2 linked regions of the Xenopus tropicalis genome follow. The protein of the gene in region 1 interacts with the protein of each later gene in a pairwise test. Links are inferred from orthologs where the notes say so. Each region holds a gene or a part of one and is shown in the gene's direction. Other genes may lie near its edges.

Region 1 (6,741 bases):
GAGGAGGTACATAGTGGGATCGGAGGTACGTAGTGGAGCATGGGGGGGGGGGTGATTTTGACAGGAATGTGGGAGTTTGCAACTTGGGTGCTAGCCCCGAGGGCTCTGGACCCTCCAGTCCAACACTGTCCAACCCCACCAGTGAAAACATGTTTTCAAATGCCTTTAGTTCTTCGAGGTACACGTTGTCCCACTTTCACGTGTTTTAGCTTATCTATGTTTGCATTGCATTCTTCTATTATTTTTTCATGTTCTTGGACCAATCGCATACTTTTACAAAAGCTGTTTAGCCAATAAACCAAACTAGCTGATCAAGCTGGCAGCAGCCTGAAGCATCTGCACCAATCTAACAACAACATAACCTCCCAATACAATTCACTGGGTGTTTTTAACCAGTCACTGTAATAAATGCCATATACAAATAAACTACACAAATCAATGGATAACCGGAGTTCTGATCAGGGTATCAGCAAGATTGCTGTTCAGCTAACATTTACTTATTAGGGTTCACGTATGTTTTACAGCCCATTAATATTGATAAAGGCATGCTTTGTACATAGCAGAAATGGTAGGCATCCCTTGCAACATTTCGCTCACGGCTTTGACGTCACTGGTTTAATTTTAGAAACCTTGTTTTTCAGGTTTAATAGTCGCATATTATGAACCCCTTCTGGCAGCAGGACAAGGGATCTATTGTGCAGCTGACAGCCAGTGCTGCAGGGGATTTAAAGGTTTACCTGCAAAGTTTATATAATATATAGTCTGTACAACAATATGCGGCCCCTAAATATATATTTTTTTTTCCCTTCCTGCAAAAAGGTGGTGTACTGCAACTCACTTAATGGGAAATTCCACTTTCAATTTTTAGTATTCAATATATTAATTTATTTGCAACTTTTCAATGAAATCTTCACTTTTAATTAAATTATATCTTTTGAAACTATTAGGCTTCCTATTTAAACTCTTTGCAGAATGCACCAGGGTAACTGGCTCATTCTCTGTAGAGGCTTTCACCCATTCATTTTCCATTTTGACTTCCAATCAGCTTCCTGGTTGCTAGGGTAAGTAAGTCTCTAGCAACCATATATCTGCTAAAAAAAATAAATATCAAACCCGAGAGATGCAAAACCAGAAGTTAGATCTTATAAAAAATACACACACAAAAAAAACTAATTGCAAATTGTCTCATTCTGTAATTTGTCTACATCAAGCTACATGTTCATTTTAATGTGAGCTGTCCCTCTGTTTATCCCTATTGTTATTATAGCCTCCCCCTCCCTACATAAACAAAACAGAGATCAACCTAAGAACACAGAATTTACAATAGGAAACCCGTGGTGCAGGGGAAAGATTCTTACACTTTTTTTCCTCCAATATTCCTTATACATGTATACTCTTATGCTTATGAGACATTCACCTAAGAAACCCTTCTTGAAAACCCCTACAGCGTACATTGCCTGGCAACATAAGCCAGATCGGTGCTAGAAATAGTTGAACAAAGAACAATGTAAATTTCCATATATGAAACATCTCCTTCTGTTTTTCTAAAATGCTTGTCTCCCCATATCCCCTATATGCCCCTATGAAACTTAAACTGAATGTTGCAATAAAGGACATTTATACATATATTGTATATATCTGTAAGGAATACCAGTTGCACAGTACAGACTGGGCTTCAAGCTGATGTATAGCCCATAGATGTGCCACCTGTAAGAGCTCACAAATGATTGGAGCTGCAGTAAGGATTCTTAAAACTTTTATGGTCTCTTAGAAGTTATGGTAACCATTAGAATAGCTGTTAAGCAAAGTATACAGAAAGAGGGAAAAGCCGTGCATAAGCTTTAACATTATTCTGTAGGAAAACAGAACTACACCAGCCATCAATTCCATGTCCCTGTGCCATCAAAGCAACACAGTTTTCCAAGCGCAGCTGGACTAATACTAAGCAAAAAGGAGAGCTCCCTATTGCTGTTATACAATGTATAATGCATATAATGTCAGTGGGAGATTGAAGTTTCCCTTTCCTACTTGCTGCAACAGAAATTCTCCCAGGATAAAAGGGGGTTTGGATATTTTGTTTGCCTTTTGCATACAGCTGAGAATAAAGAAGAATAATATACAAGGTGCTTAATATACAGGGTGCTTAATCACTAGTTTTCAGTGTAGTTGCCAGGAGCCCAGGAGAAGCAGCAGCTCTAGCACACATACACTTGCAGCAGCCCCAGACAAAGACGTCAGCACTAGAGATTTACCAAACTGCCAGGAACTGGCTCAGCCAATAGCAGAGGCGCAAGGGAGGGGGCGCCTAAGCCCAGCCCCACCTTGGGTGCATATAAAGTTGAGCCTCAGCAGTCTGTATAGAGACAAATCATCCTAGCTCTCTAGCAGCATCACTGACTCACTGACAGAACTAGCAGAAGAGAGCTCTGGGACTAATACAAATCCATTGAGGGACATTATGCAGAGTGCAATGTTTCTTGCCATTCAGCACAACTGTGGGCAAGTCGAACGCTCGTCTCCTGGAGGCTGTCAGAAAAACGAGGAGAAAAGAGGGAAGATGAAGAAAACTATGTAAGTTTCTATACACATTGCTGTCAGTCTGTATTATCTGCTGCTTTGCGCTCTGCAGAGGGAACCGAGCATTGCAAATGGCATGGGCTCTCCCTACAGAGCTCAGTTCTCTATGGCTGCTTTCCCTAAAAACCAATGGCACTGGCATTTATTGCAGAATGTATTTCTTCTGCTGCATATCTTCTTATATAGACATATATATATAATACTGGGCATCAGTTAAATACCAGCTTTTAAGGATAGTTTTACACTGCTTTTAAGTCCCTGTGCAACTTTTTGCATTCAAACTATTTTCAGTTTCCAGATGCATGCGTGAAAACTACTAAACCGTGCCTATTCACATTATTGCATTAGGTTTATTAATATTATTTTATTTTGCTGACATAAGAGTACAGTAATGCAGTAAGATTTGCTTTTTATTAAAATATGGATAATGGAAACCAATTGCTTGTAGAGTAGTAAAAGCGCAGGAATAGTCAGGATGGCGGCAGCGAGAGCCTCAGTGAATAAGTCATTCCTGGGCTGTACAGTAATGCAATGATCTCATACAGGCAACATACGTTGCACAGCTGGGAGAAGCAACTGCAATGGCCTCTTGTGTTTCCTTAAAATGTGCCAACACGAGTAATAACTAGTCATACCGAGTGTGACGCACTTATGAGATAGATTACGTTGGGTAAGATAATGTTTAACAAAGATACAAAGATTAATTGAGTCTATAAAAGCCACTCTTATCTAACCCTCTATATATCCCTAATTAGATCTTTAGATTGCAGCAATTAAACCTCAGTATTTATGTTGCCCTTTTTAATTTTAATATCTGATGTGGAACCATGGTCCAAATATAGAAACGTTAATTGTTAACTGCTCCCTAGGGGAGTGAGCTGCCGCCCTGACACAGATGGTATTGTACTTTGCTCTGAAGTTTAGCTATAAATACTTTCAGCAGATCAAAAGTCTTCCTTAAAGCAACAGGCGACTTGCCTTTAAAAAGAAACAGACTAAAGGTCACAAGATCTTCGCTAGGCTGCAGAACTAATTAGATAGCCTGGGAGTTAACCCCTTCACAGCTGGGCAAGTTTAGAGGCAATTTTCATTTCCAGGCAACAGAATTTTTGATGCCTTTATTCTGCTTTCTAACACTGAACTGCGCTGTGGCGTTTAAAGAGTTTTAATAAAAGATTCTCTTTCCCTTTGCAGTTTAAAAGATTGGAAGACACGTCTGAGCTACTTCCTGCAGAATTCTCAGAACACATCCAACGGGTCCTTAAATATGGGGCAGAACAAAAGAGGCAAAAAGAACGCCTATTGCAGGTACAGTATATAGAGATTGATTATATCTCACTACCTGAATGTAATATTGTTCTTTGTAAGGCAATGGGAAACTAAGCAGAAGTATTCATGATCCCTGTCTATCTTTCAGGCCCACTCCAGAAGAAGCCAAGAGTTGGTCAGAAACCTTTGATGATCTTCTTGCCAGCAAATGTAAGTTATTATCAGAAACTAATTTGGGCACAGCAGATAGATAAATATTAAGGGGAATCAGTATTTCTGTGGACCATACATATATAGTGTGCGTGTATTAATATACAGCTTAAAAGGTGCACAACCATTATGATATGCCACAACCTAGATGCAGAAAACTTTTTCTTTCTTTCTTTCTATCTTCTATCTATCTTTCTATCTATCTCTATCTATCTATCTATCTATCTATCTATCTATCTATCTATCTATCTGTCTGTCTATCTAATCAGTTTCATAAAAGGAATCAGAGAATAGTTATAGCATAGAAAAGCATATAAGTAGCCCAAGGATTTTGAAGTTCATTATCATTACAGGAAAAAGTAATTAACACATTTGTTTCTCTCTTGTTAACAGACGGAGTAGCAGCATTCAGAGCCTTTTTAAAATCCGAGTTCAGTGAAGAGAATATTGAGTTCTGGCTGGCATGTGAAGATTTTAAAAAGACCAAATCCCCACACAAGCTGACAGCAAAAGCAAAGAAGATTTATGATGAATTCATTGAAAAGGAAGCCCCCAAAGAGGTAAGCAGCTACATGCCAGAACCATTACCCCAATGTAGTCGTTGCTTAGTAAATACGATATCATACTAGAGTTGTGTTTGAGTAATGCAGCCATTTGTTTGCATAGTTATTTTAAGAAGTCTTTTGACACAGTTACCGTTTATGTTCTCTAAATAGCATTTTAATGTAATGGTGATGAAAGCATTGTGTGCATAACCTATCTTACCTATGGGTGTAGCTCAAGTGCACTAGTCACAAAGAGAACACTTTAGTCTCCTAAGCCGAAACACTGGTATTTTTCAAGTAGCAGAGCTTACAAAGGAAAATACTATGATTTCTCCCAGACCATCACCTATTTAACAAGAGATATATTTTAAAATCAAGCCTAAAAATGTGTTATTTTTCATTAAACATCAGGACCAATTCATAACTTTATTTTTATATCTTTCCTGCAGATTAACATTGACTTTCAAACTCGGGAAAACATTATGCAAACCATGCAGGAACCTTCACACTCCTGCTTCAGCGCTGCCCAGAGACGGGTGTACAGCTTGATGGTGAATAATTCATACCCACGCTTTATTCAGTCTGAATTCTACCAGGAATTGTGCCAGCCAGTGCCACAGATGCCCAGCGAGCCCCAGGCAACATGAAAACACAGTTGAAGTTAAGCAACGCATATTCTCTGGACTTGCACCAAAGTCCTTCAGAAGAAACCAATCCATAGAGGTTTCATATCTTTGGCCTTAGAGACTGTGTCGGCAACATCGAAAATGAGATTTGGCTGTTGACTCAAGAAAGGTCATACAGAAAATAAGGTGACTGGTGAATAAGGAGAGGCAGAAGCACTGTTTCAGGCATGGACAATGTACGGTGATAGACAGTGAAATCCATCTACTTGTTGGTTGCACTACAGTGGGAGCTCAAGTACTGTCATTAGCCCAAGGAGATTTAAGGACTAAAGGTTTTACCATCCAAGATATCTGAGTTGTTTCTGGCCATTATTAAAGAATAATCATCTGTTAAAATGTCATGAATCAGACATGGGCACTACCAAGTGTTCTTGAGATATTTCAGATTTTAAGAAGTGACTCTAAAGCAGTTTAACATTCACTGTGCAATTCATTCTGCTGTACATTATGTGATATTGGCAGCCCTGGCTACTGTTTATGAAACCTGCCATTCACCAGGTGGGAAGTTTAAAATGGTTAGAGGTGCCAGTGGGCTAGCAAACCTGTGTATTGAGCAGTACCTATTAGGTTGCAGGTTTCCAATACATTACAGAAATTCTATTGTGTGATTATGAGATAATCCATATCTTATTAATGTATCTCAAACAGTTCATCCACCTGAAAATATGTCATATGTCATCAACTGTACAGTGTGTTCACTGTTAAAAACAGCACATGGTGTGTATTTATTGTGTATAAAATGCTGTGTATGTATTTGTTAAAGCTGTGTATGAGTATGTATGGGAAATTTGTATAACAGAGCAGGCGGGCTCTAAATAATGTCATTTTCTGCCTTGAAGGCAGTTAAACTTCAGTGAAGTTGCTGTTATATATTGATTTAATTATGAATAAATTATTTTTCTTAGTACTTTTGCATCTGTTTCTTATAAATGCAGATAAAAGATACAAACTGAATTGTAACATAGACTCTACGGTCAGAGGTCTGTCAGAGTTTTTGGGGTCCAGAATCCCCCCATGCAGTTAAATATTTGGATTCCTCCCCCACCACCTTAACACATACTATGGAAGTAACAGTGAATATTCTAAAGTTCAGGACATATACAACACAATGTATACATATGAAACCCCAATTCTTATCCTAACTGGCCTTAATGTTGTACACACCTTTAGCTTGGAGTGCTGCCTCACCATAAGGTAACCATTGTTCTAGAAACACTGAGGTCCATCTATTGCATGGTTCTAGTAATGCGAAACCTGCTTACTGAGTGTTGTCAGACTAACAGAACAGTATGTCTGTGCAGAGGAGATTACTTGCTACTGCTTAAAATCCCATTCCCATGAATCCCAGCAGGCACAATGTCTGAACATTGCCCTATCTACCATAGGTCTTAGGGTCCTGGATTTTAACCTTGTGGGACACCCAAGGCTTACTTTGTGGGACAGAGTAAATAGGG
Region 2 (6,274 bases), on another chromosome or scaffold:
ACAGCTTATAGCACAGCATTTGATGCAAAAATGCCATGGAACATTATATTGGTAATCCGAAATATAGAAGGTTCTTTGTATTCTATCAGCTATCCTTGTCATAGAAATAAAGTGAAGATGCAGCAAGTTACATATGAAATCTTCCATTACATAACTGTCCATTTCTAAGCCTCAAGGGCATCAAGATGTCACAATGTGGCATCCGATGTTCTATTTATTTTTTGAAAATTGTAATTCAACATTTCTTTATCTGTCATTGGCAGGTTCCTGTAATATGCTGCAATGTGACAGGGCTTCCTGTTGTGCTACCTCAGGACAAAATGTAATGCACCCTCCCTGGTGAGAGGTAGGTACTGCACTGATTTGCATGTGTGCAAAGCACATAGGGAGCACACTGGTCAGACCTTAAATACTAAAATACAACAACAAATGGCTAAACAAAAATCTGGTCTGGTCAAATATGAGGCAATCCCAAGTTACTAGGTTAGATCATTGTTTCTCAGGCAAACCCAGATTCATGAACATACATGAAAGTGCCATGTTTTATACATTATTGTAATTTTGGAAGTGAACTCGGCTTCCTCTTTTGCAGCTCTTTAACCTCTTAGCCACATGGGACATAACTGTTCAGTTAGTTTGCTTTTGATCCTGAGTACCTAGGCCAGAAAGCAAACATTAATGTCCCATATGCCCCCCCCCCCTCTAGTCACTGATTGGTTACTGACTGGTAGCAGGTTGCAAAGCTGCTAAGAGCATGCAAAGGAGACAGTAGTGTTCTGGCTATTACATTAGGCATCTATTACCCCAGCCTTTATAAATTACATTTTTGCCTAACTAACAATATTGAATACATTTTTTTATTTTGCACAGCCTATCAATTTCTCAGTTTAATTTTTACACTGAACTGTTTCTTTAAAGTTGACTCATTGTATGAATGAGATATAAAGAATAGTTTCTTCATATGGAAAAAAGACAGATGAGGGCCTGTATGGAGAAATGGCTTATGAATGTAGTGATTTTGGTTGTTAGATAATTTTATCTGGGTCAGTGAAGAATTGCAACAATACCAAATGAGAGGATCTTACCATGTATGGCCAATGTAATACTGACCTCTCCCTACAATGCTGCATCTGATTCTCTGTTTAACATTAGACATCATCTGGCCTCTTTATACAGTATAATGTTGCCTTGGACTCTTGGTATAAATCTCAGTTTCTGTGAAGACATAAGTATTCCTTTTGCCACACAGTAATCTCAGTCTCTGTAGTGTATCAGCTCATTGGTGCTCACTTTATTTAACAGCATGTTTTTTTGCCTCCTGGACTTACCTCCTCCCTCTTGCCAATGACAGGCACACAGTTGTGAAGCAGCCTGCATGTCTCTTGTGAAGCCTAATCAAACTGAAAAGTCCACGCTTGTCCTGTCCAAAAGTGTCACAATGACTCAGTCTCATGTTACTTAATCTGAGACAGCTGACATTTCTTTACTAAGAACAGCAGGAGAATAACTACCACCTCACATAACCTATCAGAGCCATGCCACTCAACCACGCATGGTCAGGGATAGAAAACACGAATGTTTATAAAATACACATTTGTGCCACAATATGACACGACTTTCGAAGATATGTATGCATTGCCTTTGTTATGTAAAAAAATGTCATAGATACTGTATGTTAGCGAGTCCTTCTGATTAAATGCATTTAAAAAATGACTGTTGACTTGCACCCTATGCAAAATATTTTCATGGCAGCAAAAACAAAGGAAGAGTGGTACTCCAATTGGCACATCTATGAAATGATTATTCAACTCCCAAATCTTGATTAAAGTATATTCCCAAAATGGCAAAATAGCATTTTAAATAGCATTTTAAGTAATAGAGTAGAAGCCTAAAAATATCAGCCAGGAGCAAAAGTAACTGGCCCCATAGACAGAAGAGACATCAGTGTACCCTTCATCAGAACGTTAGCTTCTTTTTTTGGCCATATTTTTATTCCCACTGTCTTGTTGGTGAGAAGCAGTTTTCAATGTCACTTTAGAGGGATTGTCTACATTTAAGGTAACTTTTAGTATGATGTAGAGAGTTATAATCTGAGACAATTTACAATTCGTCTTCATTTTGTATTATTTGTAGTTTTTTAATTACTCCAGTTTTTGTTCGGCAACTCTCTAGCTTGGAGTTTCAGCAGCTATTTGGTTGCTAAGGAGTTACCTTAGCAACCAGGGTGTTGTTTAAATGAAAGAATGGTGTATGCATAGGAGAGGACCTGAATAGAAAGATAAGTAATACAAAGCAACAATAAAACTGTAGCCTCACAGATCAATAGCTTTTGGCTGCTGGGGTCAGTGACCCCCATTTGAAAGCTACAAAGAGTTAGAAGAAGAAGGCAAATAATTCAAAAACTAAAAAACAAATAATGAAGACTAAGTCGCTTAGAATTAACCATTCTATAAAATACTAAAAGTTAACTCAAAGCTGAACCACCCTTTTAATAGGTCACTTAACATAATGTAAACTATCCGTTGTTTAAGTATTTATTCTGGGGGTATCGTTTTTCTTTAACACTTGACTGTTATTTCTAAAGAGTGGATATGGAAAGTTCTCAAAGACGTTTGTCAAGAAAAGATATTTGATCTTGTGAGTTGGGAGAAAGAATGAGGCATAAGCGCCATTCTAACCATAAATGAACTATAGATCATGCATGTCTATAGTATCTAAATGCCAGGCCCTACCAGGTTCCCAGGTTGCTGGTATTTACATTGTTTATAGTACAGGTTTGGGATCCATTATCTAGAAAATTTCTAAAAAACTGCAGTGCTCTTTACCATAATGTCCTATTTGAACAAATAATTGCTTATTTCAATTGATTTGCTATTTTCTGTATTATTAACACAATCCCTGCTACTAGATGAAAACTAAACTAGCATAAATCATTACTTATGGTAAAACAATACTAACTTATTTTGATGTTTAAATGTTAATAGGCTTTAAGGTACAGTCCTTCATATTACAAATGGATTCCTTATCTAGGAAACTCCATTCCCCATGCATTTTGGGGACCTACATTGTTATAATGGTGCTCCTCGAGCTTATGACTTATTATTCCTCCCAAACTACATGATATGACATTATATTTTCTGAGCAAATCCCCTTGGGAATTTTATATATGCAGTCATATCTATACTTCATAAGCAACACTCTTACAGAAACCCCAGGTCCTGAGAATTCTGGATAACAGGTCCCGTACCTGTACCTTACTTTTAAGATTATCCAAGCTAGTACCAATCCATGTTAAAGACAAAACAAATGATGTTTATATTAGCTTTAAAGCATAATACTAGAAAGACACCATATCTGGAAAACTGATACCAAGCATTTCGGACAATGGATCCCATACCTGTACCACTAGTCACATTTTTCATGTTCACAGCAGATAAGTATACCTGTAACATGCATATATTTGTGGATCTTGTAATGTGTTTTAAATTAAAATGCATTTGCAGATTTGAAATCCCCAGACACTCTTAACAACATTTCATGGGGTGAGGAGTGAAGAGTTCCCTCTTTCATGTTTACTAGAATGTCTATTGTCTTACGCCCCTACCCCCAGAACTTTGGTGTTTGAGATCCATGTACTTTCACCAAAGTTACTATATGAACATTTAAAAGGCATGCTGCTTGGGCCTTCGAGTATATTTTACAATTGTTATTCTTAAAACCAGACTTTTACATTTCATGTTTTATAGTGTTTATTATATAACACATGTGTTAAAGTTGAAAACAAAGAAAAAGATTCATCAATCTCAATCTCTCTCTTACATAATTCCTACCTATATTTAAACGGATCCATAGGAAGGCGAAACCCCCTCCCCCAACCTTGTCTCCAGTTTGCCGCATTTCTCTCTGACCTAATTATATCATTGTATTATAATGTTAGGTGCAGTATGCAATACATTACAAATGGCAGAAAGTAGTATCCCTTTATAATGAGTACATTTTTGTGATCTTTATAGTATGCTACTGGTTTTAACCATACATTAAAATATTTCCATTAGACATTAATAAAGTTGTTGGATCATTGTTTGGACTAATTTTTGAAAGGATAATATTACCATTACCAACATAGGTACTAGTGCAGTTGCCATTCGAAAGCAATCACTTCTTTGCTACAGAGTGTTTAAAATGAATTGCTGTTTAGTTGCTATTAGTAACTGTACTATTTCATAGCTTTGCACCTATGAGCATGAGCTTGCACCAGTAGGATTTATAATAAAAGAGACTTCTTTCTAGACATGCAACAACTTTAAAAAATTTTAATTTAGCTGCATACTGAATCCTCGACAAAAGATACAAAACTCGCACACTAATTTAAATTATAAAAATTGCAAATAAATTGAAAAGTTAGTTTCATTTGTCCACAAGTTTTACTTTAACAGTTTGGCTGGGCACTCAGGATCTAGCCAAATCTGAACCTTGAAAAAGTGCTTGATTTGGAAGAATCTCATAGCAAAAACCCTGAAATTGTCCCAAAAGACTGCATTTGCCTCTAAGAAATAGTTTGAAAAAGTTTGAAACAATTTTGTGTGACCTAAGCCATAGAGTAGTTGTTAGATTTTGGAGGATTCAGAGTTTTCTAAGCAATAAAAATTACAAAAGACAATTTGTCGTTTGTGGTTAGTAAGAAATACTATGTTTAAAAATGGATCCATGTTTTTTTCATTCTCTTACACAGACCATCTTGGCCAAAGGGCCATGGAGAAGCTGCTGTGCCTGCTTGTGATGGGAGCCCTGGGGTATGTAGAGGCCACACAGCACTGCCCTGGTCGATGCCTCTGCCAGAGCAACTCCCCTACACTAACCATGCTGTGTGCCAAAACAGGTCTCCTTTTTGTGCCACCAGCCATTGATCGTCGAACAGTAGAGCTACGTCTGACTGACAATTTTATTACCATCATCCGGCGAAAGGACTTTGCTAACATGACCAATCTTGTGCATCTGACACTGTCACGAAATACCATTAGCCAGATTGTGCCACTGGCATTTTTTGACCTCCGTTCTTTAAGAGCTCTGCACATGAACAGCAACCGGCTCTCTTTATTGAGGCATGAACACTTTCGGGGGCTGGGCAACCTGCGTCACCTCATTCTTGGCAACAACCAGATCAGTTTTATACAACCTGGTGCTTTTGTTGAGTTTCTGTCTACTGTAGAAGACCTTGACTTGTCTTACAATAATTTAGAGGAATTACCCTGGGAAGACATTGGTCAAATGGTCAATCTTAACACTCTGACACTCGATCACAACCTTATTGACCATATTGCTGAGGGGACATTTACCATGCTTCATAAACTGGTAAGACTGGATATGACCTCAAACCAATTGCACAAGCTGCCACCTGACAACCTCTTCCTTAGGTCACAAGTGTTAGCCAATGCTAGAGGCTCCAGCCCATCCTCCTTGGCCATAAGCTTTGGTGGGAATCCTCTGCACTGTAACTGTGAACTTCTGTGGCTTCGACGACTGACAAGGGAGGACGATCTAGAGACATGTGCCTCTCCAGAGCAGCTGACAGACAAGTACTTCTGGTCTATCCAAGAGGAGGAGTTTATCTGTGATCCACCTCTTATAACACGACATTATGCCAGCAAACCCTTTGTCATGGAAGGACAGTCAGTCAGTCTGAAGTGCAAGGCGGTAGGAGATCCAGAGCCATCAATCCATTGGATTGCTCCTGATGGCAAGCTGATCCATAATACAACAAGGCTTGTGGCCCATGACAATGGATCCTTGGACATCATGATAACAACACTGAAAGACAGTGGTTCTTTTACTTGCATTGCCTCCAATGCAGCTGGAGAGGCTACTGCCCCAGTGGAATTGGCAATAGTACCCCTTCCACTTTTGGTTAACAATACAGCGCACATTAAAGAACAAGATCCTGGTTCCTCAGATATTACAACTTCTACCAAACCTGGCTTCAATGATACGAAGAGCCACCATGATCGAAGAATTGTGGTGGACAAGCTCAAATCCACATCTGTAGTAATTCAGTGGCCATCTGAGCGCCACATACCTGGAATACGTATGTACCAGATCCAGTATAACAGTTCTCTGGATGACTCTCTGGTGTATAGGTAAGATATTTTTTTTATTTTGCATAATATTAGTTTTATTAGATTTGTAGATAGTTCATCAAAGTCACGGGCTCGTCCTCCTTGCCTGTTAAAACTATTGTTTCCCATAACATTTAATTTGTGTCTTTATCTAAGTGTAT

What was found.
Region 2: the proteins of rgs2 (region 1) and lrfn1.1 interact in a two-hybrid assay, tested with the Homo sapiens proteins (2 studies listed by BioGRID and IntAct). The link is inferred for Xenopus tropicalis from reciprocal best matches to the Homo sapiens genes RGS2 and LRFN1.

Annotation. Positions count from the first base shown.
Region 1 is NC_030680.2:117,677,498-117,684,238, forward strand, and holds rgs2 (regulator of G-protein signaling 2), read left to right. Parts: upstream 1-2,381; 5' UTR 2,382-2,458; coding exon 2,459-2,571; intron 2,572-3,771; coding exon 3,772-3,885; intron 3,886-3,994; coding exon 3,995-4,056; intron 4,057-4,449; coding exon 4,450-4,616; intron 4,617-5,050; coding exon 5,051-5,248; 3' UTR 5,249-6,194; downstream 6,195-6,741. UniProt on the Homo sapiens protein: Regulates G protein-coupled receptor signaling cascades. Inhibits signal transduction by increasing the GTPase activity of G protein alpha subunits, thereby driving them into their inactive GDP-bound form.
Region 2 is NC_030684.2:81,084,631-81,090,904, reverse strand, and holds part of lrfn1.1 (leucine-rich repeat and fibronectin type III domain-containing protein 1), read left to right. Parts: intron 1-263; 5' UTR 264-346; intron 347-4,732; 5' UTR 4,733-4,752; coding exon 4,753-6,134; intron 6,135-6,274. UniProt on the Homo sapiens protein: Promotes neurite outgrowth in hippocampal neurons. Involved in the regulation and maintenance of excitatory synapses. Induces the clustering of excitatory postsynaptic proteins, including DLG4, DLGAP1, GRIA1 and GRIN1.